4 linked regions of the Pelodiscus sinensis genome follow. The protein of the gene in region 2 purifies or fractionates together with the protein of the main gene of each other region. This does not show direct contact. Links are inferred from orthologs where the notes say so. Each region holds a gene or a part of one and is shown on either strand. Other genes may lie near its edges. The genes, in order: COPS7A, RBX1, FBH1 and EEF1A1.

Evidence for each region.
Region 1: the proteins of RBX1 (region 2) and COPS7A purify together in Homo sapiens (affinity purification with mass spectrometry; 3 studies listed by BioGRID and IntAct, with this or other methods). This does not show direct contact. The link is inferred for Pelodiscus sinensis from reciprocal best matches to the Homo sapiens genes RBX1 and COPS7A.
Region 3: the proteins of RBX1 (region 2) and FBH1 purify together in Homo sapiens (affinity purification with mass spectrometry; 3 studies listed by BioGRID and IntAct, with this or other methods). This does not show direct contact. The link is inferred for Pelodiscus sinensis from reciprocal best matches to the Homo sapiens genes RBX1 and FBH1.
Region 4: the proteins of RBX1 (region 2) and EEF1A1 purify together in Homo sapiens (affinity purification with western blotting; 3 studies listed by BioGRID, with this or other methods). This does not show direct contact. The link is inferred for Pelodiscus sinensis from reciprocal best matches to the Homo sapiens genes RBX1 and EEF1A1.

The regions. Positions count from the first base shown.
Region 1 is NC_134711.1:138,490,547-138,498,177, forward strand, and holds the start of COPS7A (COP9 signalosome complex subunit 7a), read right to left. Parts: upstream 3,018-7,631; 5' UTR 2,783-3,017; coding exon 2,621-2,782; intron 2,193-2,620; coding exon 2,117-2,192; intron 700-2,116; coding exon 611-699; intron 542-610; coding exon 339-541; intron 1-338.
Region 2 is NC_134711.1:89,607,899-89,615,253, reverse strand, and holds the start of RBX1 (E3 ubiquitin-protein ligase RBX1), read left to right. Parts: upstream 1-4,352; 5' UTR 4,353-4,396; coding exon 4,397-4,510; intron 4,511-7,355. UniProt on the Homo sapiens protein: E3 ubiquitin ligase component of multiple cullin-RING-based E3 ubiquitin-protein ligase (CRLs) complexes which mediate the ubiquitination and subsequent proteasomal degradation of target proteins, including proteins involved in cell cycle progression, signal transduction, transcription and transcription-coupled nucleotide excision repair.
Region 3 is NC_134711.1:3,369,490-3,376,748, reverse strand, and holds the start of FBH1 (F-box DNA helicase 1), read right to left. Parts: upstream 3,019-7,259; 5' UTR 2,877-3,018; coding exon 2,864-2,876; intron 1,522-2,863; coding exon 1,357-1,521; intron 1-1,356. Other genes in the region: ANKRD16 (ankyrin repeat domain-containing protein 16), read left to right, coding at 5,528-5,555, 5,923-6,277. UniProt on the Homo sapiens protein: 3'-5' DNA helicase and substrate-recognition component of the SCF(FBH1) E3 ubiquitin ligase complex that plays a key role in response to stalled/damaged replication forks.
Region 4 is NC_134713.1:54,087,879-54,095,517, reverse strand, and holds the start of EEF1A1 (elongation factor 1-alpha 1), read left to right. Parts: upstream 1-4,634; 5' UTR 4,635-4,663; intron 4,664-5,364; 5' UTR 5,365-5,409; coding exon 5,410-5,553; intron 5,554-6,275; coding exon 6,276-6,455; intron 6,456-6,533; coding exon 6,534-6,830; intron 6,831-7,050; coding exon 7,051-7,201; intron 7,202-7,351; coding exon 7,352-7,608; intron 7,609-7,639. UniProt on the Homo sapiens protein: Translation elongation factor that catalyzes the GTP-dependent binding of aminoacyl-tRNA (aa-tRNA) to the A-site of ribosomes during the elongation phase of protein synthesis.

The sequences.
Region 1 (7,631 bases), about 49 Mb from region 2:
TGAGAAGCTTCTTTCCCATATTTGGAGGAGTCTCCTCCCTACTTGTGGCCACAAGAGGACTGAGAGCTGCCTGAAGTTGGGGTTGTCAGCAGTCCTGCAGCACATGTGCAGTTAGGGGCGCTCAGTGACTCCATAGGTCTGAAGTCTCAATAGCACTCCTGCAACATGGGCAGGTGTGGGTGTCCCATCTGTAGATCATGGCGGGTTAGGAGAGATCTCCTCACCACTCCTTCCATGTCAGCACCTCCTCACCACCCTAAAAGTCCATGGAAGAGGCTTGTCACCACTCCGACATTCTGGGGGGAGAAGGGAGCTGGCCTTGGGGGCTTCGTCCTTACCACTCCTGCAACGTGCGTGTGATGGTGCTGAGCTCCTCCCTGCGGATATCCCGCCCAATGCAGTAGTCGATCTCAAGGCGTTGATTGCGCTGGTCCAGGCTTCCGCGCAGCACATCCGCATACACAGCCTCAATAACTAGATCCTCCAGCTGCCGCACATTCTTCAGCTGCAACTGTTCCAGCAGCACTGCATAGGGGATACACTGTGGAAAGCAAAGGTAGTTAGTATGGGACAACCCCAACAAGAAAGGGGAGGGGGACTAAGCCATTACCTTGATCTTGGCAGCCAGAGTGACCACTGACAGGTGCCTCAGCTTGTTCTTTTGAGCCTCAGTCAGTGGCGGGAGGTTTCCAGCTTCGGCTGCTCTCAGGAGAAAGAGCACGGTGTTAGAGTTGGAGCTGTCCAATCTCACCTCTTCTAGTCTCTGGCTAGGGTCCTTTGCCCCACATCCATTCCTCAAAGTCTCTAACGTACCCTCTGCAAGGTATCTCCTAAAGCTCTCACACAGCTCTGCATGGAGGAAGCCTTCTCCTGGAATCTGTCTCACCCAGCTCCTCCTGCTCCTCACTTCCCAGATGAGCCCTAAATAAATCTTCTCTTCATCCACATCCCTAACCATTGGCAGATGGCCCTCATAATCAGACCCCTCATTCCTCACCTAACTGGAGCCATGAAGCCAAATGGAAGTGTTGTACACGTGGAATCTCCACCCAGAACTCCACCTGTATTATTTGAATTCCAGAAGCATCTAGAACCCCAACAAAGTCAGGCTTCCATTGAGCTAGCCATTGCGCGCACACAGAGCAAGTGAGCCTGCCTGTTACAATGAACGTCCAGTCTAAAAAGGGACATAACGCAGAAAGAGCAACTGGCCTGAAGCCACACAGCAAGTGCAGTAGTAGAGCCGAGAAGAGAACCCCAGTCTCCTGAGTTCTAGGCAATGCCCTATCCACCAGCCTGTGCTGCTGCAGGACCCCTTTTCCCCTCTGAGCATTTCAATAGGTTGGTGAGTTCCTTCAACTTTGTCACTCTTTTTCTGCAAATGGAAGGTCCAACACTGAGAAGTATCCTACATGGGGTCTCCCCCAGAACTATAGAGAAAAAACACTATTCCCTCCCTGGGCTGCAATATGGGGCTTCTGCATCCCCAAAATTGCCCTGACCAGTTTTGAAACCTGAACCCTGAGTCAGTTACTTGCCCTTCTCCCCTCCCATCTTTAGGATTGCCAGTTTTCAAGTGGAACATGCAAGCCGAAAGGTATCCTGTCAGCTTGGGTCAGCACTACTGACTGGGTCGTTAAAAGGCCAGGTGGTGGAGTTGGCAGGTTCTTTGCCTGGCTCCAGTTGGTTCCCAGGAAGTGGAGACACATTCCTCTGACTCACAGGGGGTAGGGCAACAACAGAGACACCATGTGCTGCACCCATAGTTCCCCCTGGTCAATAAGCACTCTGGGGGAAGACACTGAGGACAGGGACAGGACACAGAGCTCCCTGGCCACCCCATCCACCTAGGAGCTGGAGGGACACATCACTGCTTCCTGGGAGCCACTTGGAGTAAGCAGCCAAAGCCCCTTCCTGTTCCTTCCTTCCCAAGCATGAGTAAGTGAGCATGGGGAGAGATGGAGTGAAAGGGGGATCAAGGAAGGGGGCAGTAGAGGAGGGTGTTTGGTTTTCTGCAGTTAGAAAGCTGGCAAACCTATCCACCTTGCCTGCTTCCCAGGAGAGCGGGAGGCGCCGGGGCACTAGGCTAGGGGCTGTAGGAGAAGGACACACTTACACAAGTAATCCGAGTAGGTCCCGTATGCGAAGAGCGTGAGCAGACGGAAGACGGAGGAGAACTCACTCTCAGCCAGCTGCAGGGGAGAGAGCACTCAGTACAACGGCGAGAAACCTGGCACGCCACGGCCGGGCCACTGCCCCAGGTGCAGGGGGCGCCTCGAATCCCGGCTTTCTTCCACCCCGCACCCCCAGCACGCGGTACGCTCGGGTGCTGTCGCTACCGCCGACACAGCTGCGTGGGGCGGGCAGGCGCTTCCCGGGCCGCACAGCGGCGGGCGGGCAGACTCCGGGAGGCTGGCAGGGGCATAGCGGGGGAGCCCCCGACCCCCAGTGTAACCCGCGGGCGCTGGAGGCCACGGGCAGCAGCCCACTGCTACTCCCACGCCCACGCGGGCAGGCTGGGCTGCGCCTTCCCGGGGCAGCCCCACGAAGCGCTCCCCCCCAGCCGCCGCAGCGCCCGGACCTCCTCCAGCCCCGCGCCGGCCGCTGCCCCGGCGCTCACCTCCCGGACGTTGGGCAGATCCAGCAGCTCCCCGAAGACGTAGATGCCGGGCGCCTCCAGCACCTGGTGGATGAGGCCGGCCAGGGCCGCGCCGCGCGCCGAGCGGGCCAGCAGCAGGAGCTGCTCCTGGCTCTGCCCCGCCGCCTTCCCCTCGGCTGCCATGCCCGGCCCGGCCCGCCGGCGCCGCGGGGACAGGGGCGGAGAGAGGCCGGGCCGGGGCCGCGCTCAGGGCAGAGCAGGCGCTGCCGGACCCGGGCTGCAGAGCGGCGCGTGCGCAGCGCCCCGCCGGGCTCCCAGCTGGGGCGCCCCTGCCCGCGGGGGGGTTCGGGCCCTCCCGCAACTAGCGCTTTTCGCCCCCTCTATGGCACTCCCCTCCCCCCATCGGCCACTTCCGGGTTTCCGACGTCAGGGAGCCACCAGGCCACTCCCACATCTCTTTTCTCTCTCCCCTCCATTGGGTCTGTGCCGCTCTACTCCCGCCTCCGCCGCTCTGCGATTGGCCCAGTTGAGTGACACTGGCGCTGTGCGGGCCCGCGGTTGCCATTGCACCAGCCCGCAGCGGGGAGGTGCCCCTGTCGGCAGCCGCGCGGCGCCGCTGGAGAGGCGCGAGCCCAGCACTCGCCCTGCGCGCTGCTGCGGGAGCGACAAGCTGCCATGGTCGCGGCACCGCCTCCCGCACAGCGCCGGGCGCGGGAAGCCCGCCTGGGACAGGCCTGCCGCTGCGGCACGAGCAGCAGGGCGTGCGGGATGCTCCCATTCCGCAACACTAGGCAGCGGGCACCCGCACCGACTTGCCAGCCCAGCCACTTACCAAAAGGGTGATTCTGTGAAAACCTGGGCAGGTGCAACCTCACCCACAGACCCAAACCACTCAGCCTGACTAAACCGGCCCCCCTTCGCCACAGCTCCGCTCCCGCCACACAGACAGGTCGCAGGCGTCCTGACAGTGAGTCTTGGAATCGTAAGGGCCCAGCCACCAGATTATCTTCTGACCTTGGTAGCACAGGCCACCAACACACCCAGGAGCTACACACTAAAGGGAACAAGCAACATTAGACCAAAACAGACAGTGGACTATCTTTGCACAGGCAGAGAATAGGAGGGACCAGTGTCCGATTTCCTGCTGCAACGCAGGGAAATGATTAAGTGACACATACCTAGATAATCATGGCAAGAGACCTGCAAACATGCAGTAGAGGAAGGCCATTGTGACCTGAGTGGAAATTCCTTCCTGCGTAAGGCCCAGACCTTTTCCTGCAGCCATGTTGTAAGGGCTGACTCTGACTACATCTAGACTACAGGCTTCTTTCGGAAGAAGCTTTTTTCAGAAGAGATCTTCTGCAAAAACTTCTTCTGAAAGAGCATCCACACTGCAAAAGCGCATTAAAAAGCAATCTGCTTTTTTGACAGATAGTGCCCAGACTCGCATGTAAGCTGTGATTGCAATGGCCAGAATGGCCACCAGGGTACCTGTACTTTTTCCTCCTTCCTCTTCTTCCAAAAGAACTCCCTTTTTCCCATCCATACGCACCTTTTTGTGAAAGAGTTCTTTCAGAAAAAGGCTTCTTCCTCATAGAATGAGGATTACAAATGCCAGAAAAACCCCTCTGTTCTTTTGATTTTCTTGCGGACGAATGCAATTGCAGTGTGGGTGTGCCTCAAGTTTTGTCGGAAAAACGGCCTGAGACCTTTTTTGAACAGCCACGAGCCAAGAAGTAGAAAGTCAGGTTCTCACATTCCAGCTAAATTACAGTAAAGCAATGTAATTAGGCCATTAAGGAAGTGATCCTGCTCCAACAGTGTATCCACCATCAGCCAATAAAGAAACAGATCTTAAGTCAGTTAAAGAAAACGTTGATAGCATTCTTTCTGGAAATAAAACACTTATCAGTGGTTGTGGCTGTGAAATCTCTACTTCTTTATTGTTTTGTTTTTATGGTTCCCACTTCTCTATCTGTATGGTCTCTGCCTGGTTCTTCAATTGTTTCTTTCTGTTATATAACTAATTTTGCTAAGTGTAAATCAACTATGGCGGCAGGGTCATTCTTATCGGTGCTGGTGCCACACTGTGGAAGGCAGAGGGTTGCCAACTCTCTTGAACAGGATGCCATTTGCTGCACTGGTGTCTCGTCTGGGAGAATTGGCAACCCTGGAGCAGGGCAGGGAGGGAGGCTCGCCTACAGCCTCAGAGTAGCAAGTAGGAGGCATGGGCAGTGCAAGCACAAGCTAGAGGAACAGAGGGCAGGCAGCTCTGTTGCCAGCCAGACAAATGTGGTGCTTTGAAGGGGAAATGGCTGCTTCTCTCCATCAGTTGGCTGTGTGGCTGCCCCTGCTCCTCCAATGTCCTCTGGTCCACAGCTCATGGGATGGAGGGCCAGCTGAGGGCAGGGGTGCTGGAGCCAGTGCTGAGCTTACCGGGGGAGGGGGAGGCGGGATGGGAGGAGAATCAGCTGGGGAATGGGACTGATGGGACTGCCAAAGCCAATGAAGCATGGCTGCTTAATATACCATCCTGTGGCGTATGCAGGATAGATGCCCTAAATTTAATGGTTCCCTATCCAGCTGCATATGCCTAAGGACACCTCTGTGTGGTGGTGGGGAATGATTGGTTAAAGAATTGTTTTACAATGTGTTAGAATTAGATAGAAAATTGTTTAATTAATACTTTAGTAAAATGATTGGTTAAGGCAGGGCTACTCAACATGTGGCCCATGGATTTCTGCAGTGCTCAACACGTGGCCCACGAGTGGGAGCCAAAATAAAAAAGTAGTCAGTATCATGGTCTTCTGTTGAGATGAGTTTTAGTAGTTAAATTCCTGGACTGTCATTGCTCATTAAAAGTTCTGTCATATGGGTGGAAATTGGGTAAATGTTGCATTTTATTAATATCAGCAGAACTGACTTAAATGGGGCCTGCGTGTTGTGTAGTCTTGCCTTAATCTTTGTATTCATTCCCATCAATATGAAAGAAGCTATTTGCATATATATTTGCATGTCTGCAACCACCGTCGGCATTTGCTGTGCATATCATTGTGGCCCCTGGGGCTTCCAAAGTTGAATAGCCCTGGGTTTGCTAAATGAGACTCAAGTTTCACTATGTAAACTTAGGTCCAAAAGGAAGTTCTTTGGAACCAGCTACAGAACACAGCCCCAACACCAGAGCTCCCAGACCTCCACACCCTGTCAATCACACCATGCAGAAGCTGAAATCCCCAGATGATCTGATCCTGGCTGGCCAGCAAGAAAAGTGCATCGGTTTTATTGGGAGTGGTGCGCATTGTATGCTAAGCGTGTTTATGCTGCTTTGGTGACTGTTCATAAACAGAGATTAAACATATTATTGCATAAGGCTCTTTCACTTGTAAAAGAGCCATAACCCTGAAGATCCTGAGTCCATAGGGAATGCATGTTATACCCTAGGCCCCATGGGGAGAGAGAGCTTGGAGCCCACAAAGGGATAAAGTTGAATGCCTTATACCCAGAGCCCTAGGAACTGGGAAAGGGTGGGAGGGCCTAAATGAAAGGGTTTTATGTCTTGAGTCCATTGAAAGGTGAAGGTGGTTGTGTCCCAGGCTGTGTCTACATTGGTGTGATCTTGTGCAAAAGCATCTGCTTTTGCGCAAAAACATGCTGCCTGTCTATACTGGTGGGGAGTTCTTGCGCAAGAACACTGACGTTCTAATGTGTGAAATCAGTGCTTCTTGCGCAAGAACTATGATCTTCCTGCTCAGGAATAAGTCCTCTTGTGCAACTGTTCTTGCGCAAGAGGCCAGTGTAGACAGGCAACATGAATTTCTTGCTCAAGAAAACCCGATGATTAAAATGGCCATCAGAGCTTTCTTGTGCAAGTGAGAGTCTACACTGGCACGGATGCTCTTGCGCAAAAGCACATCTCTTGCGCAAAGGCACATGCCACTGTAGATGCTCTCTTGCGCAAATACTTTAACGCAAGAACTCTTGCATTAAAGAGTATTTGTGCAAGATTATGCCAATGTAGATATAGCCCCTGTGTGTGTGTAACAAAGAATTTTGTGCAGGGAACAAGTGACCCTACAGGATGATGATCAGTGACTCTGAGCATGTGAGAAAGAACCTGCCAATCCAGCACTTGAGAGGGAGAATGTTGGTATCACCGCAAAGCCCTGCTCCCCCTCCCAATATCCCATCATAGCCATGGCCATCCCTGGTGCTTTGGAAAGAGCTTTAAAAATCTCTCCCAAAAAGCATGGGAGGGAGGGGGAATCTTTTCCTGACCCTGCCAGCAGTCAGCTGAAATCCTGAAGCATGAGCTATAGGACGATAACAAAGAAACCAGAAGTGAGTCTGAGGGCTGTGGATCCTTCCTCCTCTCCTGTCACAAGCAACCCCATCATATAATCACACTTTGAATTTATCCATCTTGCTCTTAAAACTAATTTCTTTGCCCCTAAAATTCCTGTGGGGAGGCTACATTTGCAACAGTTAGACCCTTCCACCCACAAGGTCAGGAACAGGTTCCCAAGTCTGGTCCACACTTGAAAGTGTCATAGGTATAACTGTTTATACTTAGGTTTGATTTATAGAATAAAAGCCATAGAGTGAACATAGTTGCACAGGTATAACAATGGCATACTTGTCAGAGTTATTTCCCTTTTTGTATGGGACTAGCTATTCTTGTCTAAAGCAACTCTGTTAATGTAACTGCATGTATTGTAAAGGGATTGTACAACTTTAACATTACTAGTATGTAGTTACATTTGGTACACATTTCAGATGTTGACAAGACCCAAATGCCCTCTGATCTACCTCAGTAGTTCTCAAATTTTTTGGCCAACGGCCCACCCCACTCAATGAAAATTTTTCCACGGACCACCAGCCAACCATCCATGATGACAAAATGCCTTCGCTTATCTCTAAATACCTTAAATACTAAATTATTCATATTAGGCTCCTGGAGCACAAAAACGTAAATACGCAGCTGTAACATAAGGTGGTGCATATAACCAGTAAGAAAGGAAATATCAATCAAATC
Region 2 (7,355 bases):
TTTTTGTTTAAAATTTTCAGTCTTTACTTTGTGGTAAGGTTGACTGTGCTCCTTTTCTGCATTTGCTACCACTCACTGTATGCTCGTCTCTCTTGCAATCCTAATTTTATGTATCCAGTTTCCTTACCATAATAACGGGAACTGCCTTTCCTTGCAATCAACAAGTAACTGATGGCCAACAGTACGCAGGATGAGGATGACCCTATCCAGAATCAAGGGTGAACCTCTTGCTACATAAGCATGTCAGTTCTCAGCACAAGAAGAGGATGCCCTATTCCATTTATTCCCCATTCCTTACCTGCATAACATCCAAAGGCATTCTCTGCATTCCTGACATAGTTCTGATGTTTCCCCTCTGCCAGGTACACCAGTGCTTAGCCTTCAAGGTTTGCCCACCACTGCTGGTTTTTATAGAGCTGTATCAGAAGCCTTAACTTCTTCAAGGATCATTCCATTTATTTCAGGAGACGCACTGCCACAGCATACAAGACAGGATATACTGGCACAGCAGGAGCACAGTTGGGCTTTCAAATCACAATAGTGAGCTGGGACTTAGCATTGTGATGTACTTTGGTCCTACCGGATAAATACAAATTACTGGCAGCTCTTTAGCCTCTATTATCCCAAATAAAGAGACGTGGCTGGGATCTCAGTTCCCTCTAAGGTGCATGCCTCTGCGGCCATGCATGAAGAATTCTAGGCCTGCCCACCTCATCTGCAGGGCCTGGAAAGTGACTGGCGAGGTGGGTTCTAGCTCCTACAGCTGCCATGTGGCCTGCTGCTCTGGCAGGTGGGGCTGGGGCCGCATGGTCGATGGCTGCTCCGGGAGCTGGGGCCAGGACTGCATGGTGGGTGGGTGGCTGCTCCGGCCAGCTCTGGCTGTGGCTGCATGGCAGACAGGAGGCTACTCCGGCCAGCTGGGACCAGGGCTGGGGCCATGTAGCAGGTGGGTGGCTGCTCCGGCTGGCCGTCCAGAACCGCGACCATGGCTGCGTGGCGGATTGGTGGCTGCTTCGGCCAGCCAGCCAGAACTGTGCCTCCCATCTGTGTCCCTTCTAGTCTGTTTTTCTCTTCCCTTTTTTACCTCCATCCCTTCTCCAGCCACTTCCCTGTCGTAAGAATTCTAAGTAAGGCTATAACATTTTGACTAACCAGCCTACCAAACAAAGAACTAGGATTTCTCTTCTCATGCCCCCTCTGGCATTACTCCAGATCCCCCACCCTTTCCCAATATAATAACTGTGAATTGTTTTGCTCAAATAATGTTGCAGAAGAAAATCAGAATTTAGGAAGACAGCAAAAAGTATTGGGATGAAACAAGGAACCAGTCCTATACCACTGAAGTTAACTAGAGTTTTGCCATTAACTTAAAAGAATGCAGATTAGAGCTCAAATGTTGTGGCTTCTACCCTTTGCAAAATGGTTATTAAGGGTATCTGAAAATAGTTTTCTTTCTGTATCTGTTGTTAGGTAAGATAGTCAAGCATGATGTGACTGAGTTTAAGTTCGCGGTTCCGGACGGTCATACTGTGTACAGATGTGGTTTCCTCACCTCAAAAAAGAAATTTTGGCCTTGGAAAGGGTTCAGAAAAGGGCAACTAAAATGATTAGGGGTTTGGAATGGGTCCCATATGAAGAGAGGTTAAAACGACTGGGACTTTTCAGTTTAGAAAAGAGGAGACTGAGGGGGGATATGATAGAGGTATATAAAATCATTAGTGGTATGGAGAGGGCGAATAAAGAAAAGTTATTAGTTCCCATAATAGAAGAACTAGAGGACATCAAATGAAGTTAATGGGTAGCAGGTTTAAAACTAATAAAAGAAAGTTCTTCTTCACACAGCGTGTAGTCAACCTGTGGAACTCCTTGCCAGAGGAGGCTGTGAAGGCTAGGACTATAAGAGAATTTAAAGAGAAGCTAGATAATTTCATGGAGGTTAGGTCCCTAAAAGGCTATTAGCCAGGGGATAGAAATGGTATCCCTGGCCTCTGTTTGTCAGAGGCTGGAGAAGGATGGCAAGAGACAAGTCACTTGATCATTGTCTTCGGTCCACCCTCTCTGGGGCACCTGTCAGCAGACAGGCTACTGGGCTGGATGGACCTTTGGTCTGACCCAATATGGCCGTTCTTATGTTCTTATGTAATCTAAACTTCCACATGTACCAATTGGACAAAATATGCCTGTATGGTTTGTTTAGTCATTAGATCATCTGCTAAAAAATTCTGAACTCAAATTAACATTAATATAAAGCTGTCATATTCCATTATGCTAGATGTACATCGCTATACCTCAGTTTCCCCTCTGTAGAGTTGTGAGGTCACGTGCATTAGCGATTGTGAGGAGGTCAGACACTGGAGTGAAGGAGGGCAGTGTGAGTTCCTTGATAGACAGACTGCATATGTCCCATTGAGGCTGGGGGAGCTCCATTAACACAGGCTGTGTAAACCTGAGCTCTGATGCCTTCAGGAAAGAGTCACGCTTCCCTCTGTTGGTGTAGCTTCTCCCTACCTGGCTGTGGGTCTCTTTCCATGTTCTCCTCACATTGGAACTAACCAGCCCCTTGGGTCTATCTCATGCCTTGTCCCTCATTTGTCTCCTATGGTCCCGGGGGGGGGGGGGGGGGGGGAGAATAGCTGCAGCACAGTGTTAATTATACTTTTAGTATTCTTTCTTCTATAATGTTTATATCTAAAGATATTTGTTAGTAACTGGTGGGTGCCAGTGACACACATCTGAACATGCACACGGGACCTCAATATTGGTGCACAAGACAAAACTTACTCTGCTCAGGATGGAAAATCTTAGCGGGAACACTGGATGGGATGTCATTCAACACTGCAGTGCTCCTTATTCAGTAACCAGAAGTCACTGCTCAGCTACACAAAGTACAAGGCACCTGGAGGAGAATTTAAACACGTTGCCTCCCATAGCATTCCCAACACTCACTTTGAAAGGAAACAAAGACTGAACAATTTTCCTGGCCCTGGGGCAGTATGCAACAGCCTAAAGTCACCAAGGTGAGATTTTTTTTTCCACTGAAAAATGTGCTTTGCAAATACTTGTCAGAGACAGACTGAGCCTTAGGGCAGGTCAACACTAACCCATGGAGGCATCACAACTGAAAATGAGCTAGACCAGCATCAATCTAGTGCAGCGGTGGCCAACCTGTGGCTCGCGAGCCGCATGTGGCTCTTCAAAGGAAAAATTGCGTCTCTTCTCACAGTCCCTTGCTCTGACCTTTTCTTCCTTGTCTGGGCAGGGCGCTGCTTGGCGCAGCAAGATCTGATGCTGCGGCTGACAAAGGCCTGCTTGGGCCACATGTGGCTCTTAAAGGGGCAGCAGTTTTTTTGGGGGGAGGGGGTTGTTTGTTTTTTGGTTTTTTTTTGCACAACAACTTGTTTTCCTCGGCTTTTTGCGCTGTATCCACCACTATTTTGGCTCTTTGTAATGAGTCGGCCACTCTGTTCTAGTCTCCTGCATGGTAGCACAGAGCCTTTGCCAGCCACCACTGTCCCCTGCTGACAGGGAGGCACTCTGAAAGGCCATGGGAAGCTGCGCGTGTTTGGAAGGAGAAGATTTACATTTTTTTCGAAAGGCCCCTTTGGCAAAGAGGAGCCCTGCTGAGTATTTTAGTGTGACTCGAAAATGCTCATTGCTAGGGGCACAACCGAGTGGGTGCAGAAGACTGATGGGCAGGACTAAAGGCACCCAACTCTGCCTTCTCGCCAGGGCAGCACGAAGCGCTCAGCACCCGACTGGGCCGGTCACTCTCCTGCATGTCGGCTTCTGGAGAGGAGCTAAGCGCCGGGGAGGCAGCAGCGCCGGCGGCGGGCAGGGCTCCGAGCAGCAGCAGGGCGGCCCAGGCAGGTGCATGTGTGTGGACGGGCACAGAAAGGAAGATGGAGGCGCAGAGCCCAGCGCTGCCCCACTGCCAGCTCCCCGCTTTGCAGCGCAGAGCGGCGAACAGCCTCCGTAGGCACCGGCCCGGGGCAGCCACACGCGGCTCGGCCCCGCCGCACGGAGCCCCGGCCGGTTCCAGCACGAAGCTCTGGGTCGAGCGCGGCCCGCAGCTCTCTCCAGGGCGGGGCAGACAGAGGGGAGGGGCGGGGCGGGGCGCCCACCAGCACCCCGGCTCTCGGGCGAGAATTCTTGCGTCGCCCTTTAAATGCTGCTGCCGGGTTCATTCCATCCCCCCGCCCTAAAGTTGCGCAATTCTGTCATGCGGGCGGGGGAGGCTGACTAGGGCTCCGCCCTGGCTGGCGCCTTTAAGAGCTCAGCGTCACATGATGCTTCCTTGCGATCTTTCCCCTCTCCCTCCCTCCCCTCACACCTGTTTGCGTGCGGGGCGGGGCGAAGGGAAAAGAACTGTCGCGAGTCTTTGGCCCTTTTCTCGCGCATGCGCACTCTAAGGGGCTGGGAGTCGGGTATCAAAATGGCGGCAGCGATGGATGTGGACACCCCAAGCGGTGCCAACAGCAGCGCCAGCAAGAAGCGCTTCGAAGTGAAGAAGGTGTGGGTCTCCGGCGGGCGCCGCCCTGGCAGCCGCGGGAGAGGAGGGGGGAACGGGGCGGTAGCTCCGGGGCGAGTTTTGGTCTCTTCAGAGGCCGGCTCTCCGGTTCCGCACTACGCACGAGTGGGCGGGGCTCTGGGTTTCTGGCGCAGTCCGGGGCCAATAGCTGAAGCGGGGTGACTGTACGTGGGGGACGGAGGGACCAATCAGTGGCGCTGTTGTTGCCGGGTGACAGCAGCGTGTGGGGGCGGGTCTGTGTTAGGGAGGTGTCCGCTCTGTTACAGGGAGTGGGCGGTGGCGTCCCCCCTTGAGGGCGGGGCTGCGCCGCGGCTCAGCCTGTTCCGTCGGGGCGATGCTGCGGGGCCGGGGCGCGGCGAGGGGGCGGGAAGTGTCGCCCCGAGGGGACGTGGCCGTGGGCAGGCTGCCTGGCGCCTCTGGTGTGGCCTTGAGCCAACGCGCAGCCACCCGCCACGGGCCCTCGCAGCCGCTTTTAGTTGGGTGATGTGAGGACGCTCCCGCCCTGAGTGGGTCTGGTGGCCGGGTGCGGGCGCTTTCTCCCTGATCCTGAATTAATTTTCGGCGTGGCGCAGCCCCCCGCCACCCCCTCTCCTGACGGCGCTGCTGTTCTTCTGCCGCAGGCCTTGGTTTCCCTTTCCCACCCGTTGACCTTTGCTTCGAAGCCTATCCAGGAGGGAAGACGTGTTTGTTTCTTTTCCTCTACCCCCAAAAACAAATCGTCAGGGACCCAGCGAGCATGGCAGCCCAGGAGTGGGCCCTGAGTAATAAAGCTTAATGGTGCCCCAGTCCTCTGTCTCCCTCAGACACCTGAGTGGCAGCAGTGGTGGCTGCCCCGTGCCAATACTGTGCAGTTTTCTACATGACTGTGGGTCAGACTGGTGTATGCTCAGTGAAGTTTGTCTTAGGTGCCCTTCATGTCAGAACTCTCCTTACTCGAGTCAAAGCTCCTAGTCATAGGCTTATTGGGTACTCTAGCCTTGCCCTATGGGCATGAATAACATCATCACCAGAAATTAAGACTAATAGCTGATTGGACCAGCTTCTTTCCTCCTTTATAGCAATATTGGATTTACTGAGCTAACAGAAGTAAAATAATCAATAAAATCCAGATTTTTTTAAACCATAAAATTAATAGTTATGACTTGAATACATCAAGTCTGCTGAGTAAAAAGGCTTTTACAGGTTTGCACAATAATTAATTCTCAGTTTAGAATCACACTTTAATGATAGAAAATACAGGACTATGTAGCACTTTAAAGACTAATAAGATGGTTTATTAGATGATGAGCTTTCGTGGGCCAGACCCACTTCCTCAGATCAAATAATGGAAGAAAATAGTCACAACCATATATACCAAAGGATACAATTTAAAAAAAATGAACACACATGAAAAGGACAAATCACATTACAGAACAGAATCATAGAATAATAGGACTGGAAGGGACCTCGAGAGGTCATCGAGTCCAGCCCCCCGCCCTCAAGGCAGGATCAAGCTCCGTCTACACCATCCCTGACAGATGTCTATCTAACCTGTTCTTAAATATCTCCAGAGAGGGAGATTCCACCACCTCCCTTGGCAATTTATTCCAATATTTGACCACCCTGACAGTTAGGAATTTTTTCCTAATGTCCAATCTAAACTTCCCCTGCTGCACTTTAAGCCCATTACTCCTTGTCCTGTCCTCAGAAACCAAGAGGAACAAATTTTCGCCTTCCTCCTTGTGACACCCTTTTAGATATTTGAAAACCGCTATCATGTCCCCCCTTAATCTTCTTTTTTCCAAACTAAACAAGCCTGGCTTCATAGGTCATGTTCTCTAAACCTTTAATCATTCTTGTCGCTCTTCTCTGTACCCTTTCCAATTTCTCCACATCTTTCTTGAAATGTGGCGCCCAGAACTGGACACAGTACTCCAGCTGAGGCCTAACTAGTGCAGAGTAGAGCGGCAGAATGACTTCACGAGTTTTGCTTACAACACACCTGTTGATACAACCTAGAATCATATTTGCTTTTTTTGCAACAGCATCACACTGTGAAATTTCCCCTTCCCCACCTCTATTATCATTAACTCACTGGCATTCACCTTCCTTCTCCTCCCCCTCCCCCCCACATCCTCCTTCTGTTCTGTAATGTGATTTGTCCTTTTCATGTGTGTTCATTTTTTTTAAAATTGTATCCTTTGGTATATATGGTTGCGACTATTTTCTTCCATTATTTGATCTGAGGAAGTGGGACTGGCCCACGAAAGCTCATCATCTAATAAACCATCTTGTTAGTCTTTAAAGTGCTACATAGTCCTGTATTTTGTTTCAGCTACACCAGACTAACACGGCTACATCTCTATCACTTTAATGATAGGACCATGTATGTTCTTGGACCAGGGAGTCCTAGTTGCGAACCCCAGTGGCAAGAGGGCTGGCGGCTTGGAGCTTGGTGGGGTTGGGGCTGGCGGCTGGGGCTAGCAGCGGGGAGGGAGGGTAGCAGGGGACCTTTTCTGGTCTGTCAAATTCCATCATTTGGGGCCAGTTAGGTCCCGAAAGTGCTAGACCAGAGAGGTCCAACCTGTATTCAAAAACCTACACTGGAGCCGCAGATAGGCCATCCAGTTCTTTGTGCTAGCTCTCATGACATTTGAAAGAAGGAACTTGAGTGCAGCATGGCATATTTTAACTAGTTGATTGTCATTGTGGTGGCAGTGGTGACTTATTAGTAGAGCTGCTGCATATGGTCATCCCTAATGGTAACTTATTGGTAGGGCTACTGCTCATTGTGGTATTTTCCATTTGGTCAAGGAGATCTGAATTGGTTTTCCAGTACGATTCTCAC
Region 3 (7,259 bases), about 86 Mb from region 2:
GGCATAATAATTAGTTCCCTTCTTCACTGAGAGGCTGTGAGCATGTATTCGTTAATGCCATTAAGTGCACTGAAATCCCTGAATGGAAGCTGGTACAGAGTATTAGACAACAAACACCGAGAGATCTAATTAAATAAGAAGGCGTATTAAATAATGAATATGCAGGAGTGTCTCCATAAATGCGGGAACAAAATACAGGACTATGTAGCATTTTAAAGACTAACAAGATGGTTTATTAGGTGATGAGCTTTCGTGGGCCAGACCCACTTCCTCAGATCAAATAGTGGAAGAAAATTGTCACCGCCATATATACCAAAGGATACAAGTAAAAAAAAGTGAACACATATGAAAAGGACAAATCAAATTTCAGAACAGAAGGGGGATGGGGGGGAAGGTAAATGTCTGTGAGCTAATGATATTAGAGGTGATAATTGGGGAAGCTATCTTTGTAATGGGTAAGATAATTACAAAGATAGCTTCCCCAATTATCACCTCTAATATCATTAGCTCACAGACATTTACCTTCTCCCCCCCCCATCCCCCTTCTGTTCTGAAATTTGATTTGTCCTTTTCATATGTGTTCACTTTTTTTTAAATTGTATCCTTTGGTATATATGGTTGTGACAATTTTCTTCCACTATTTGATCTGAGGAAGTGGGTCTGGCCCACGAAAGCTCATCACCTAATAAACCATCTTGTTAGTCTTTAAAGTGCTACACCAGACTAACACGGCTACATTTCTATCACTATTCCATAAATGCGGATACTGCAGTATCTATTGCTTAGAGCTCCCATTGGCAGCAAGCAGGCTGGCCTACCGAGGCTGGTGTGCGCACTTCAGCTTTTCAAAGCTAGAGAAAGGCAGGGGGGATTTGAAGTTGGGGTAAAACAGGAGTTAACCCAGGCTTGGTGTAGGACTCACCCCTTCTTGGGAGGGGAAAAGACTCCTGACGCTGAGGCCAGGCCTACGCTGGCAGATAAAGTTGATGTAATATACGCAGTTCCAGCTATGACAACAGCATAGCTGGAGTCGACTTACCTTACACTGATTTTCTGGGGCAGCCCCACAGCAGAAGGTCAATGGGAGAAACGCTTCTATCAACTTCCCTTACTAGGAGTACTATGGTCAAAGGAGGCCCTCAGCTTTCGATTTAGTGGGTCTTTACTAGACTACAATATGGGTGATTACAATATGGATCAATCAACTTCTTTCCTTGTGGACAATTAGCCCTTTCCCGCTGCTCTTCCCTCTGTACCCGCTCATAGAAATTGGGGTTAAATTCTACTTGTTGCACAGAGTTGATATTAACATTTTCTCTCTCTCTCAGCTCTTAAACCTGTTTAGAAACACTCTACCTTCTTGTGATCTCTTGGTCCTGTATGTTGGGTAGAGGCCTCTGTTTAGATCTCTGCTCACTCGTCTTTGACTGAAAGGCTGTGTCAGGGAACAGGAGCCTTCTCTGCTCTGCCTGAAGGCTTCACAGTCGCTGGCGGTGAGGCGCTTTTGTTTAAATGGTTTCACTGTCACCAACGTGAAAAGCAAATTGCACGGTTGTTAATTCAATTACATTGATGTTTGTTTTCAAGTGACATGCTGTGCCTTTGGTACACACCTACAGCCAATTAGTTTCCTAGCTCTATGGGATGATCCCAACATTGAACCAATGTACCTTCTTTCAATTGCCTATGCAGAAATATATGCAGACCCCTGACGATATTCTGTAGAGTAAAATAAAACATCAAGACACTCTGTACTGTCCCAGACTAAGTTTACACAGTAACATCACTCTTGGTGTCTCATTCATCACCGTACAGAACTTTGGGGTATCCTCCAGTAAGCAATTGCTACGTCACTGTAGCACAGACAGCTACTGTAGTGACAGGAGTTTTGCCAGTGATGTAGTAAATTTGCCCCCAGGACAGGAAGTGGCTAGATCAATAGAAACAGACGTGTCCACACCTGGGTTTAGGTCAGTTTAACTCCATTTCTCAGAGCTGTGAGTTTTCTACACCTCTGAGCAACGTTTTGGGATCTGGTTACAATCGAAAAAATAATCTAATGTAGATGGGTTTTCAAGCCAATTGCACAAAAAAGCTAAAGCGTTGGACATGTCCAGACTAGGGATGTTAAAGACTAGTCAACTAGTCGACATCCTCCCCCTGCTGCAAAGGAGGGGGGACTTTATGAAACCCCAAGGCAGCCGCTGCACAACTGATACGTGGATCAGCTGTGTGGCGGCTGCCCCTTTAAAACACTGCCTCCGTGCATTTCAAAGGGGCAGCTGCTGTGGATTGAGAGTCCCCTGCTGACCACAGGCTCCATGACTTTGAAATGCACATTTCAAAGCAGGCATGCCCCAGAGTCAGCGGGATTTCCGCTGGCCCCAGGCTGTACAAGGAGTTCCGCATTCCTCCTTTGAAATGTAGAAGAGCCACTGCTGGGGCTCTTGTACATTTCAAAGGAGGAATGCGGAAGTGCCTGTCAACTAGTCAATTAACCGCATTTTAACATCCTTACTCCAGACTTGTTAAACTTCAGTCTACACTCAAAACTGCAAACTCGTAACTGGGCCCCTACTCAGATATATTTGCAGTGTAGCTCTTACCTCTACAGTTGTCAGTTAACTAGAAAATCTTGCGAGCAATATTTAAATGTTCTACTGTAAATGCATATGTGCAACAATACCATCTACTTTGATAATAGGGACTGGCAAGGATAGATAACTTAATGTCCAGCTATAGAATTATGAGTTAATGATCATGTGCAATAATCCTTCCAGATGCAGTAAAAGCCTCCAAGCCACACTGCTTACTTGGCTTCAGTTTTTAATCAGAGAATGATATCCCATACCAGAAACCATACCCAGGATATCCATGAAGCGAGTAAGTGCTTTTGGCTTCAATTAGCATCCAAAGGTCAAGTCATTTTCTTTCATGTCTTCCTCCCCTCAGAACTATTACATACACCACTAAGAGCTTTAGCAAAGACCCCTGGGGTATGTAATGCCTTATACAACCACCACTTTGCTGTCCCAAAACATACCAGAAGCAAATGTCTACAGAGGAAATATTTGCTCTTCAAGATGAGATCCTTTGAAAAAAATCCACTTAAAAATTATTTCTCTCTTATTAGGAGAGTAGACACAGAATTCAAATTGGGAAAAGGAACTAGTCCAACTTTAATCATTATTATCAATAAATCATAACCTATTTGCTTCAATGGTTCAAGATCTTAAATATCCCAGAGAACAGGATCAAGCGGCTACTTCTGCTTTGGCCATGACCTTGGGAACTCCACCCAGGGCATTAACTGCCTTTACCTGCCCATGCCTATTCCTGGCCCCCAATGCAAACCCACCCCAGATCCTACCCCTGGCCCCAAAGCAGAACCTGATCCCTGTCCCCAATGCGTAATACCCCTCTACCCCAATCCCCGCCCACAGTGCCCCCCAGGCCCAACCCTTCCCCTCAATACAGACCCCTCCCACCATCGACCCAGCCCCCTAGCCCCCACCCCAGTGAACACCCCCACCCCATGGAATGCTCCTGCCCCCAATGCGCCCCAGGCCCTAGCCCCGCCCCAATGCGCCCCAAGCCCCCCCCAATACGAGCCCCCTCTGGCCTAGCCCCGCCCCCAATGTGCCCCGATACCCTAGCCCCGCCCCCAATGCAATCCCAGGCCCTAGCCCCGCCCCACTACGGAGCCCCCTTAAACTGAAGCCCCGCCCCCAATGCGCCCCGAGCCCCCCATACGAGCCCCCTCCGGCCCAAGCCCCGCCCCCAAAGCACCCCGAGACCCTAGCCCCGCCCCCAATGCAATCCCAGACCCTAGCTCCGCCCACTACGGAGCCCCCTTAAACTGAAGCCCCGCCCCCAATGCGCCCCGAGCCCCCCATACGAGCCCCCTCCGGCCCAAGCCCCGCCCCCAATGCGCCCTGAGACCCTAGCCCCGCCCCCAATGCAATCCCAGACCCTAGCCCCGCCCACTACGGAGCCCCCTTAAACTGAAGCCCCGCCCCCAATGCGCCCCGAGGCCCTAGCCCCGCCCCCAATGCGGATCCCCACAGGCCCTGGCCCCGCCCCCCAAGGCGCCTCACTCTGGTCCCGCCGCCGTTCGGGGCCTGCGGGGGCAGCGCCGCGTCCCGACTCCGACCTCCTGCCCACGTACCCCGCTCGGACTTCCTGGGAGCCCGCCCCTGCCGCTGACTGACTCGGCCGCCCGCCAATCAGAGAGCGCGCAGGCTCGGCGCCGCCCAACCAGCCCCGCCGTGGCTCCGGGAGGGGCGGGGCCACGTCGGCCCCGAGGGACGAGCGAAAACGTTCCCGGAGTTTGTTTACTTCCTCCGCCCGCTGTCCACTCTCCCCCTGCGCCGGGCGTCCCCCGCGGGCTGTGACGTCACGCCGCGGTGTGTGGGCGGGGTCAAGGCGGGCGGGGGGCAGCGTTACCATGGCGATGCCCTCGGTGGGCCCGCCCCAGGCGGGGGCCCCGCTCTCAGCTGCAGGAGGCGATGAGCCGAGGGACTTGCCCCAGCCGGGCGGGGACTTGCGTTAGGGGCTGCAGCGGGCCCCGGTGCCAAAGAGAAAATGGGACCCCCCCCTTGCCCCCCCCGCCCAGTGCTGTTGCCAGTCGCTGCGACTCGGCAGCCCCCCCCCCCGCCTCTCCCCTACAAGGGGCTGGCCCCTCCCTTCACGCCGCTTTCTCCCATACCCCCCCCCTTCTTTTCCCAAAAGGAGGCTTTGTCCTGTTTGCGCTTGGCAACTTCATTAGCTGGCAAGAGCAGACGGGATAAATGCCTCCTTGGGGGGGGGGGGGGGTCGGTACCACCAGAACATGCCTTAAAAAAGCCCCTGCCAAGATGGGACCTGTGGATATGGGCCCCTGCCAAGATGGGACCTGTGGATATGGGCCCCCTGCCAAAATGGGACCTATGGATATGGGCCCCCTGCCAAGATGGGACCTATGGATATGGTCCCCCTGCCAAGATGGGACCTATGGATATGGGCCCCCTGCCAAGATGGGACATATGGATATGGTCCTCCTGCCAAAATGAGACATGTAGATATGGCCCCCTGCCAAAATGGGACATATGGATATGATCCCCCTGCCAAAATGGGACATATGGATATGGGCCCCCTGCCAAGATGGGACATGTGCATATGGCCCCCTGCCAGTTTCATCTCCACCCACTTGCCTAATCTGATCCATTTGCTAAGGCAGATTTAAATCATCCATCTGAGATAGGGAAGCAGCTCTGTTCCAATAGCCCTGCCTGGAAGCAGCGAGCACAGTGCTCCTAAAATAAAGTGTCAGGGCAAACGCTATTTGTCCAAAAGAACACAGCCAGTGTTAGGGGAAGGAATTCAGTGCTGCACGCCCCTGCAGCAGCCGCTCCAGCAGCCTTCAGTGGACGCTGGTGTATCTGATGTGAGCTTTTAATCATGTTAATGTGACACATGAGTAGCTGGGGTCTTTTTCACTTTGTGTAGCTGACCCCACAACCTTTTTTTTACCTTTGGTAACAGGATAATGTTATGGCTGACTGTTGAAAATCCGGGTATTAAATAATAATTGCTGTCTTTATGCATAAGATCCAATACTGATGTTTTTTATTTACTGTGTTTTCAGTTATGGGAGGGGGAAGTATTTTTATTCCTAAAAGCTTTTTTATGACACTGCACATCCACTGGCTCGCAAGCATACACGTCTGAGTTTTCTTGTGAACATTTTAACCCTGTGATGCCAGATATCAGACACTTGACAGCTTTGATTCATTTGGTGGGAGAAACCCGTGTTTTGGATTTTATATTAAGGCTGTTTTTATTATCATAGATTTTCCAAGTAGCGTTTAAAATCTCATCAGTCATTTTATTCTGAAATCTCCCCGTCTCAAACCTTCTTGTTGCTGTTTTTGAATGTCTTAGGAGCCGCACATTTCTCCATGGCAGAAGCAGAAAATCAGAAACAACTTCTCAGGCTGATTCAAGAAGGCAGGCTAGACCTTTTCCAAGAGGAGTTGCAGAAAGACGAAGAAACGAGCAAGGAAGTGAGGCGGAAACACTATGGGAAATCTGCCGACACTGTACTTCACTATGCAGCCAGGCACGGTCACCTGAACATTCTGGTCCATTTAGTAGAAGCCTTGGAAATGGACATTGAGATGGTTAATAATGACTACAAAAGGCCCCTCCATGAAGCAGCTTCCATGGGTCACAGGGACTGCGTGTTGTATCTATTGGATAAAGGTGCAAGGATAGACTGCTTGAAAAAGGCAGACTGGTAGGTCACAGGCATGTTTCTGAGGACAGGACAAGGAGTAATGGGCTTAAAGTGCAGCAAGGGAGGTTTAGATTGGACATTAGGAAAAAATTCCTAACTGTCAGGGTGGTCAAATATTGGAATAAATTGCCAAGGGAAGTGGTGGAATCTCCCTCTCTGGAGATATTTAAGAACAGATTAGATAGACATCTGTCAGGGATGGTGTAGACGGAGCTTGGTCCTGCCTTGAGGGCGGGGGGCTGGACTCGATGACCTCTCGAGGTCCCTTCCAGTCCTATGATTCTATGATTCACTGTAGGATCTCGCTAGTTTTTGAAATGTGTTTGGGAGGAAGAATTGTCGAGTTAGCACATAGGTCAAGGTCTAATCCAGATCTCCCACTAACTCACTGAATGACCCCTGTAAAATTGTGCTGGTTTTCTTGCCTTTAAAATCTAATGAGCACTGAAACTAAAAGGCAGAGGGAATGAGAAATTCATGGGCAGCTAATAATGAGCCTTAATTAATTGATATGTGGAAAACAGTTACAATGGTTAGCAGAATGGGGACCTGATAATACAAATAATGATATGCTAATACAAATAATAATATTCTCAGATGAAAATTGCTGCATCAGTGTAAAATTATATGGCAAGGGCCTGAAGCTGTATTATTCACCAAAGTAGTGGAGGGAAAAGATTTCCATCACATAAGGCACCCTGGAGTTCTCAGCTAATATGTAATGTTGACATTAGAGCATGAATAGGAGGTACTGACCTAATTGTTATAATTATAAATCATTAGTCAGTTAAGGATTGTTGACATTGACACAATACGTGCGATACTTGTCTCATACAATAAATGCAGCTACATTGATATCTTATAGTCCCATAGCATCTTTCATTTGTAAGAACTCCAAAAGCAACAGTGCATACTTGTAGAGCCCTGTGCAGATACAAAATTGGTATCCACCTCCACACGAGGGATGCAAAATTCTGCTTAA
Region 4 (7,639 bases), on a different chromosome or scaffold from region 2:
GTTGGTGATCACTGAGTTAAACAGATGAGTTTCACTTAAAATGTCTTGATCATTATCTTCTTGTTCATTTCTTACACCCTTTCTTATTAGGTTCCTGGTAGGGCTAGTCATGGAGAAATACTGCACAGTGTGTAAACTTTCTGTATCTTTTCACTAAAAGATAAGACTTGTCATACTGGATCAGCTCAGAATTCCATCTAGTCTATTGACAGTAGCAAATGCCATCTACTTGAGAGGAAGGTGCAAGAAAACCTGTGGTGGATACTTATAAAATAACTTGCCACCAGAAGTTTCTATTTATCAGTCAGTGGAGGAAGGATTTAAAAGTATCAGGAACTGAATATTTGAATGGTCAGACCTGAGTGGTTAGACTATTAGAATACTTTGCACTTACACATACAAAAGCATTTGACTGATATTATTCCTATTTTTCAGATGAGGGAAGTGACATGAAGTCATTGCAGAACATGGATTGGATGTTGCACAGTGCGCAGCTTACAATAAACTGCTCCTAGAAGACCTAGAATCTAGATCAGCTCCTCCCCAGTGTTTATTGGAACTTTATTTTCCTCACCTTTCATCTTTCTCAATCATATCTGCCACCAGCCTGAAGGCTGAGAAACTCTTTTTATGCCATGTGGAACTGAGAGATCACTTGAAATTACAGCAACAAATTAAAAATTATTGCAGATACTGGATGAATTGGGGAACCAATGGTTGGACAGAGAGCTCTTTTACCTCCAAGACTGATGGCTGAGTGTTCAGAAAATACTGCCTATTTGACTGGTGTAGGAATAAATTGAGTAGACTTTCTAGGAGACACTATGTAGAACTCTGACTACTCTTGAAAATAGTCACTTATTTGCATGCTTAATATGGACTCTAGACCAGTGGTCTCCAACTTTTTAAAGCACAAGATTACTTTTTCAATGTAAGTCAATCCAGGATCTACCTTAAACCCAAATACACTTGCCACCACCTCCTTCCCCCCTACCTTCTTGGAGGCCCTGCCCTGCTATACTCTTTCTCAGAGGCCTCACCCTGCCCACTCTGTGGAGATGTGGTACAGAGGTGGAGAGAAAGGGAAACCCTGACATCACCACTGCCTTTTCCCCCCTCCCCCACCCGCACAGCAAGCAGGAAGATCCTGGGGTGCAGCTCCAAGGCAGAGGGCAGGAGAATCATAGTAGTGGGGGGGAGAGGCAGCCAAAATGCTGGCAAGTGATAACCTCCTAGACAAACCGGTTACGTTTTTAAATCAGTTAAAAAGCAAATAGCTGTTTATGCAAGAGCTTCCACTATTTCAAGCCCTAGTGGAACTGACCTGATGGTGGCAACCAAAGGATATCTAAAGGAAAAACAAAGACTATCCTTTCTCCATACAAGTTTTTATTCCCTTCCCCAGATTTGTTTAGAAAATGATCTTATAGGCTACATCTACACTGTAGCCTTCTTCCGCAAAAGCTTATGCAAATGAAGCACAGAGTGGAATATTGCTGCGCTTCATTTGCATAATTAATTAGCAGCCGCTTTTGCGCAAGAGGTTCCTTTTTTTGGCGTAGACGGCTCCTTTTTGTGGAAAATCCCCCTTTTGCGCAAGAGCCATTCTTCCTCATTTTTTCAGGAAGAACGGCTCTTGCACAAGAAGGGGTTTTTGCATAAAAAGGAGCCGTCTACACAGCTCCTTTTTGCGCAAAAGCCTCTTGCGCAAAAGCGGCTGCTAATTGATTATGCAAATGAAGCATGGCGATATTCCACTCTGCACTTCGTTTGCATAAGCTTTTGCAGAAGAAGGCTACAGTGTAGATGTAGCCATAGAGTGGACAAGAGCAGTCTTTATGGATTGTGGTCATTCCAAGCACAACTAAGCACAGCTCCAACAATGTGAGTGTTGAATAATATGTCTCCAAACTAATTACATGAAGAATTTCAGTATAAAACATTGAAAAATATACCCCCGTCATAATCCGTGGTCAAATTCAGTTAAAATGATTGCTAATGCATGTCTCCGTAATATGTGATAATCCATTGTAACACCTCAGTATGATTAAACTAAACTGTAATTCTTCAAATATACTCATGTACACATACCATGCAATAGTCACATAGAAGACTATTATCTAAATATGGTTAAATATCTACAAATACATTGAAAATTCCTTTGATTACCCAAAATCTCAAATATCCATTTGCTAAATGACAATGACAGGAAAGGTGGTGGTATTGAAGCTGCACCTTTATTTCAACATGTGCTCTGCTAATTTCTAATCTGCTTTAGTTTCGCGGGCTGGGAACCCTAATAATATGATGTACATCAGTCTCAAAATTCAATGTCCTGTGAAGTGCATCACAGATTCCCCAGGTAATAAGAACACTCTTGAACAGCTTTCACAACCATATTAAAGCAAAGTTTTACGCTAATGGCTGCGTCTAGACTTCCTGCTTTTGTGGAAAAACTTGCCAGCTGTCTACACCGGCTGCTTGCATTTCCGCAAGAACACTGACGATCTCATGTAAGATTGTCAGTGTTCTTGCGGAAATACTATGCTGCTCCCGTTAGGGCAAAAGCCCTGTTGCGTAAATGCTTTTGCACAAGAGGGACAGTGTAGACAACGCAATATTGTTTTGCGCAAAAAAGCCCTGATCGTGAAAATGGCGATCGGGGTTTTCTTGCGCAAAACCATGTCTAGTTTCGCACGGACGCTTTTCCACAAAAAGTGCTTTTGCAGAAAAGTGTCCGTGCCAATATAGACGCTCTTTTCCGCAAATGTTTTTAAAATGTTTCCGTTAAAAGCATTTGCGGAAAATCATGCCAGTCTAGACGTAGCCTACTGAGTGTCTATTCAAAAATGACAACACACATAAATATAGGGAGCAGACCTCATGAGTATTCAGTGATATCTGTTTATTCTAGTGAGCAAATTAAATCTTTGCTGCAGATAGCACTGCAAATTTGTGATATTTGTGCAAATAAGTGCCTTTGTCACAGAGAAGGAATCAAACAGTTGTTTTTATTCAGAGGGTCCAGCTAAATTCATCTATGGAACCCCACAGGAGAGAATAGCATGCATGCAGCACCACAAAATATATGTAACGCAGAATCTTATTACTAATGGCGATGCATAAGAAAATCCCAGCTTGACTTTGAACGAGGAAGACTGAGAAAAATAATCTTTTAATTTGTAAGAGCTTGTATACACCTGGAATTGTACAGAAATAACTATTTTGGAAGAGAGTCTCTCTTTGGAAGAGTAATGGTGTTAGTCTGTAACTTCAAAAACAATAAGCAGTCCTGTGGCATTTTAGAGACTAACAAATATATCATGAGCTTTCATGGGTAAAATCCACTTCATAAAATGGGTATTTTGGTAGAGTTAGTCAACAGGTGAATCCTTGAATTTCTGAAGTCCCAGTTTAGCTTAATTTATGCACTAACCAAAAGCAAGGAACACTTATTCTGGGGTAAGAATGTCCATGCATTGATTTACTCAGGTTTCAAATTCACACACACCTTCCTTTAATTCAAATTAATTTAAAAATGCTGACAAGCCCTAACGTAAGCACACTTAATCCAGAGAAACAATTAATAGTGGAACCTTAAGTTGTCCTTTTTATAAAAAGCTGTTGTAGCAGTGTTGGGCCCAGGATAGTAGACCTAACAGATAGTACCTCTTACAGGACCAAGTTCTGTTGATGCAGAATAAATTTTATGTGCACCATGGCATGTGCAGACATGAATCTCCAAAAGAAACACATGCTGCAAGCTGTTGGAGGCTGTGGGCGCTGTGCTGATCAGCTGGATGGTATTTAAATTTCATATGCAGCTCCCCAAGTGCTCAGTTTAAAGGGAACACGGGTGCATTGGGTGGGGGTAGGGGACTAAAGTAGTATGGTGTTTTCAGCAGATATATAAGGATAGAGTAGCACAGGTGGCGGAAAAGGTGATTTTAACACGGAGGGAAGCGTCATGATCTCTGGGGATCAGGAATAATGAATGGGATGGAAAGGGGCAGTCGGTGGAACATAAGGAAAGCGGGAGATGAAGGCGAGGCTGCACATACCCAGGGTGGGTAGGAGAGCTTGAACGTCTGAAGGGGAAAGCAAGTAGCTATGGTGACTAGACAAGAGGACTGGGCGCCTGGGAGCTTGTGTGAGAAAGAGACGGGCTGCGGGGCACGGGGAGCAGCTGGAGGAGGCGAGTGCCGAGGGACGGTGCGTGGCGGGTAGCACTGCGCGGGCTGCTGTCCCGGGACAGGCCCATGGGCAGGGTCTGGGGGGCAGCGCAGGGGGATGGGACACAGGCCAGGAGATTCCTTCCCCCCGACTGCCCTGCCCTGGTGACCGTGTCTGAGTAGGAGCAGGTCACGCTCAGAGAGGGGGGAGGGGCTGCCGCGATTCAGGGCGCGCGGGAGGGGTCATCACCAAATTCCGAGCGGAGACACCCAGCGGGGCTGCGGCTGGCAGCGCCCCCTGTCTCGCAGCGCGCAGAGATATTTGTCCCGGCTCCCTGCCCAGCCCGACGCCAGCGGCGGTGGGAAGGAGGAGCGAGTGGAACGCTGGGAACGGTGACGTGTCCCGGAGGCTCCGCCCTCGCACAGGATATATAAGCGCAGCGGCTCACATTGTCGGTCTTTTTCGCCACGGGTTTGCCGACGCTTAGCAGGTGAGAGGCGGCCGCGTGGAGCAGGCCTCGGTGGGGGGAGGGGTAGGCCCGCCCTATGTGGCTGGAACAATCGAGCGCGAGGCGCATGGTGGTTGAATGCAGCCTTGAGCGGGGAAGCTGCGGCGCGTGCTGGGGCTGGCGATAGGCAAGGGAGCCGCGAGACGATGGGGGCCCTTCTGTGGGCGGGGGGGGGTTCACAAAATGGCGACGTGGCCACGCGCTGCCCCCGGTGGGTAGCGTATGGAACCCGGACTGGGGAATCCCCTTCGCGGCGCGGGAGGGGGGGGGAGGGCTCCCCATCTGCCGGGCGGTGTGGGCCGGCCAGACGTGCGGGGGGTGGGAGCGGGGTCGCGCTCCCTAGTGCGGGGCCGCTCCCATTCCTCGCCGCCCCTTTCAGCGAAAATGGCCGCGTCTCCCGCACACGCGCCACAAAATGGAGGACGCGGCGGTCCGGGCGGAGTGAGTCAGTGACACAAAGAGCCGGGCCGGCCGGCGCTCGCCAGGCCGCATGGCCGCTCTTTCGCTCGCGGTGGGAGGGAAGCGTTTCTCGCCTTGTGTGCCCCCTCCCTCGCGGGGTGGGCGGAGCCGCGGCCCTCGAGTGCCGCCTGGGCCTAGTCGCGGCCGCCACGCCCTGCGCCGGGCGCCGCCCCGTTAGCGGCGCTCGGGCCCGGGCTCATTCCTGCCGCCTTTTCCCTGCCTAGGAGTTACCCTTGTAACGCGAGAGCGGCCGCCGCGAACCACCCAACATGGGCAAGGAGAAAACCCACATCAACATCGTCGTGATCGGCCATGTCGACTCCGGCAAGTCCACCACCACCGGGCACCTCATCTACAAGTGCGGGGGCATCGACAAGCGAACCATCGAGAAGTTCGAGAAGGAAGCCGCGGAGGTACCGCCACTAGCTTGCTTGCAGTGCAGAATGGAGGCTCAGCAGCTGGGTGTGGTTGCTCCAGGCCACAGTTGGTGAAATAGCACCTCTTTTAAACTGCTGCAGACTGTAAAGATAAATCCATCCGTCCGGACTGGGAGAAAAGACCTGACCTAAGTACAGCAGGGATTTTCAGAGTTCCCAGCCTCTGGCAGGGGTTTCAATTAGACAACACTAAGCTGCTCTGTATCAGCAACTGTTAAATCTAGGTTTTTTAAAGGCTGAGCAATACATGGCTCTTGTACCACAAAGAGCACCAATGAAAAGCATTACAACAGACTGCATCTCAAACTTGAGTGACAAGATTACCCTAGCCAAAAATTGCCCCAGGGTAAATAGTACATACTCTAGCTGTGGAAGAGATTACAGTACTATGAAAACAAGAGCTTATAGTGGACACTTGATACAGCCTTGGCTCTGCTTGGTCTAACTTTAAGAGATGTATTAAATATAATTAAGAGATTGAGGGCCAATGTGGTGTCAGGTCAAATACCAGAAAACAGATGGTATTTCTCACCAGTGATGCCAAATGTATTCAAGCCAAAGTGCTCTTAGCATTACAGAAAACTAGCTGCAATGGAAGCTCTTTACTACTTTGAGATGTTCCCACTAGCATTGGAAATAATTTAAACTGCTATAAAATAGTGCAAGATGTACTAACACACTTTTTTAAACACCTGTAGATGGGCAAAGGTTCCTTCAAATATGCCTGGGTTTTGGACAAGCTGAAGGCTGAACGGGAGCGAGGCATCACAATTGATATTTCTTTGTGGAAATTTGAAACCAGCAAATACTATGTCACCATTATTGATGCTCCTGGACACAGGGACTTCATCAAGAACATGATTACTGGCACCTCACAAGTATGTAAATGTGAATTCAGTTGGGTTTGTTATCTATTTGTGGTCCATGTAAAAAACTAATTATCCTCTTCTCCAAAGGCTGACTGTGCTGTCCTTATTGTTGCTGCTGGTGTTGGTGAGTTTGAAGCTGGTATCTCCAAGAATGGGCAGACTCGTGAACATGCCCTTCTGGCTTACACGCTGGGGGTAAAACAGCTGATTGTTGGTGTGAACAAGATGGATTCCACTGAGCCACCATATAGCCAGAAGAGATATGAAGAAATTGTCAAAGAAGTCAGCACTTATATTAAGAAGATTGGCTATAATCCAGACACTGTAGCTTTTGTACCAATTTCTGGTTGGAACGGGGACAACATGTTGGAGCCTAGCTCTAATGTAAGTTTGCATTTATTTTGTATATCAATTGAATTGAAAAGACTGCCAGAGTGAATTGTCACAATAATATGCATTTGAATGGAGATTAAATTGTTAAACTTGTCAGATCAAGGCAAGTTTCAATGTTTCACAACTTAAGATACAAAGAAGAAATACTCGTAAATATTCAGATATGTGAATAGGAAGGACACAAGTTATGTTTGTGCTGCTTTTTGTTTAGATGCCCTGGTTTAAGGGATGGAAGGTTACCCGTAAGGATGGCAATGCAAGTGGAACTACCCTGCTAGAAGCTTTGGATAGCATACTGCCACCAACTCGTCCAACTGACAAGCCTCTGCGCCTGCCTCTGCAAGATGTCTACAAAATTGGCGGTTAGTATTTTGTGTGAAGACTAGTTCTGTAAATTTGTCAGTTTGCTAGTGACATTCCAACCCTTAAACTGCAGAAATGGTAACATTTGTCAATCTTTGTATAAGTTTAAGTTGTAAGAAATAAACATCCTAGAGGGTTTTTTCTTTCAGGTATTGGTACTGTACCAGTTGGTCGTGTGGAAACTGGTATCCTGAAACCAGGCATGGTGGTAACATTTGCTCCTGTCAACGTAACAACTGAAGTAAAATCTGTTGAGATGCATCATGAAGCTTTGAGCGAAGCTCTGCCTGGTGACAATGTTGGTTTCAATGTCAAGAACGTGTCTGTGAAAGATGTTCGCCGTGGTAATGTTGCTGGTGACAGCAAGAACGACCCCCCAATGGAAGCGGCTGGCTTCACTGCACAGGTACTGTTTGGAACCATTTGAAGGTCTTTGG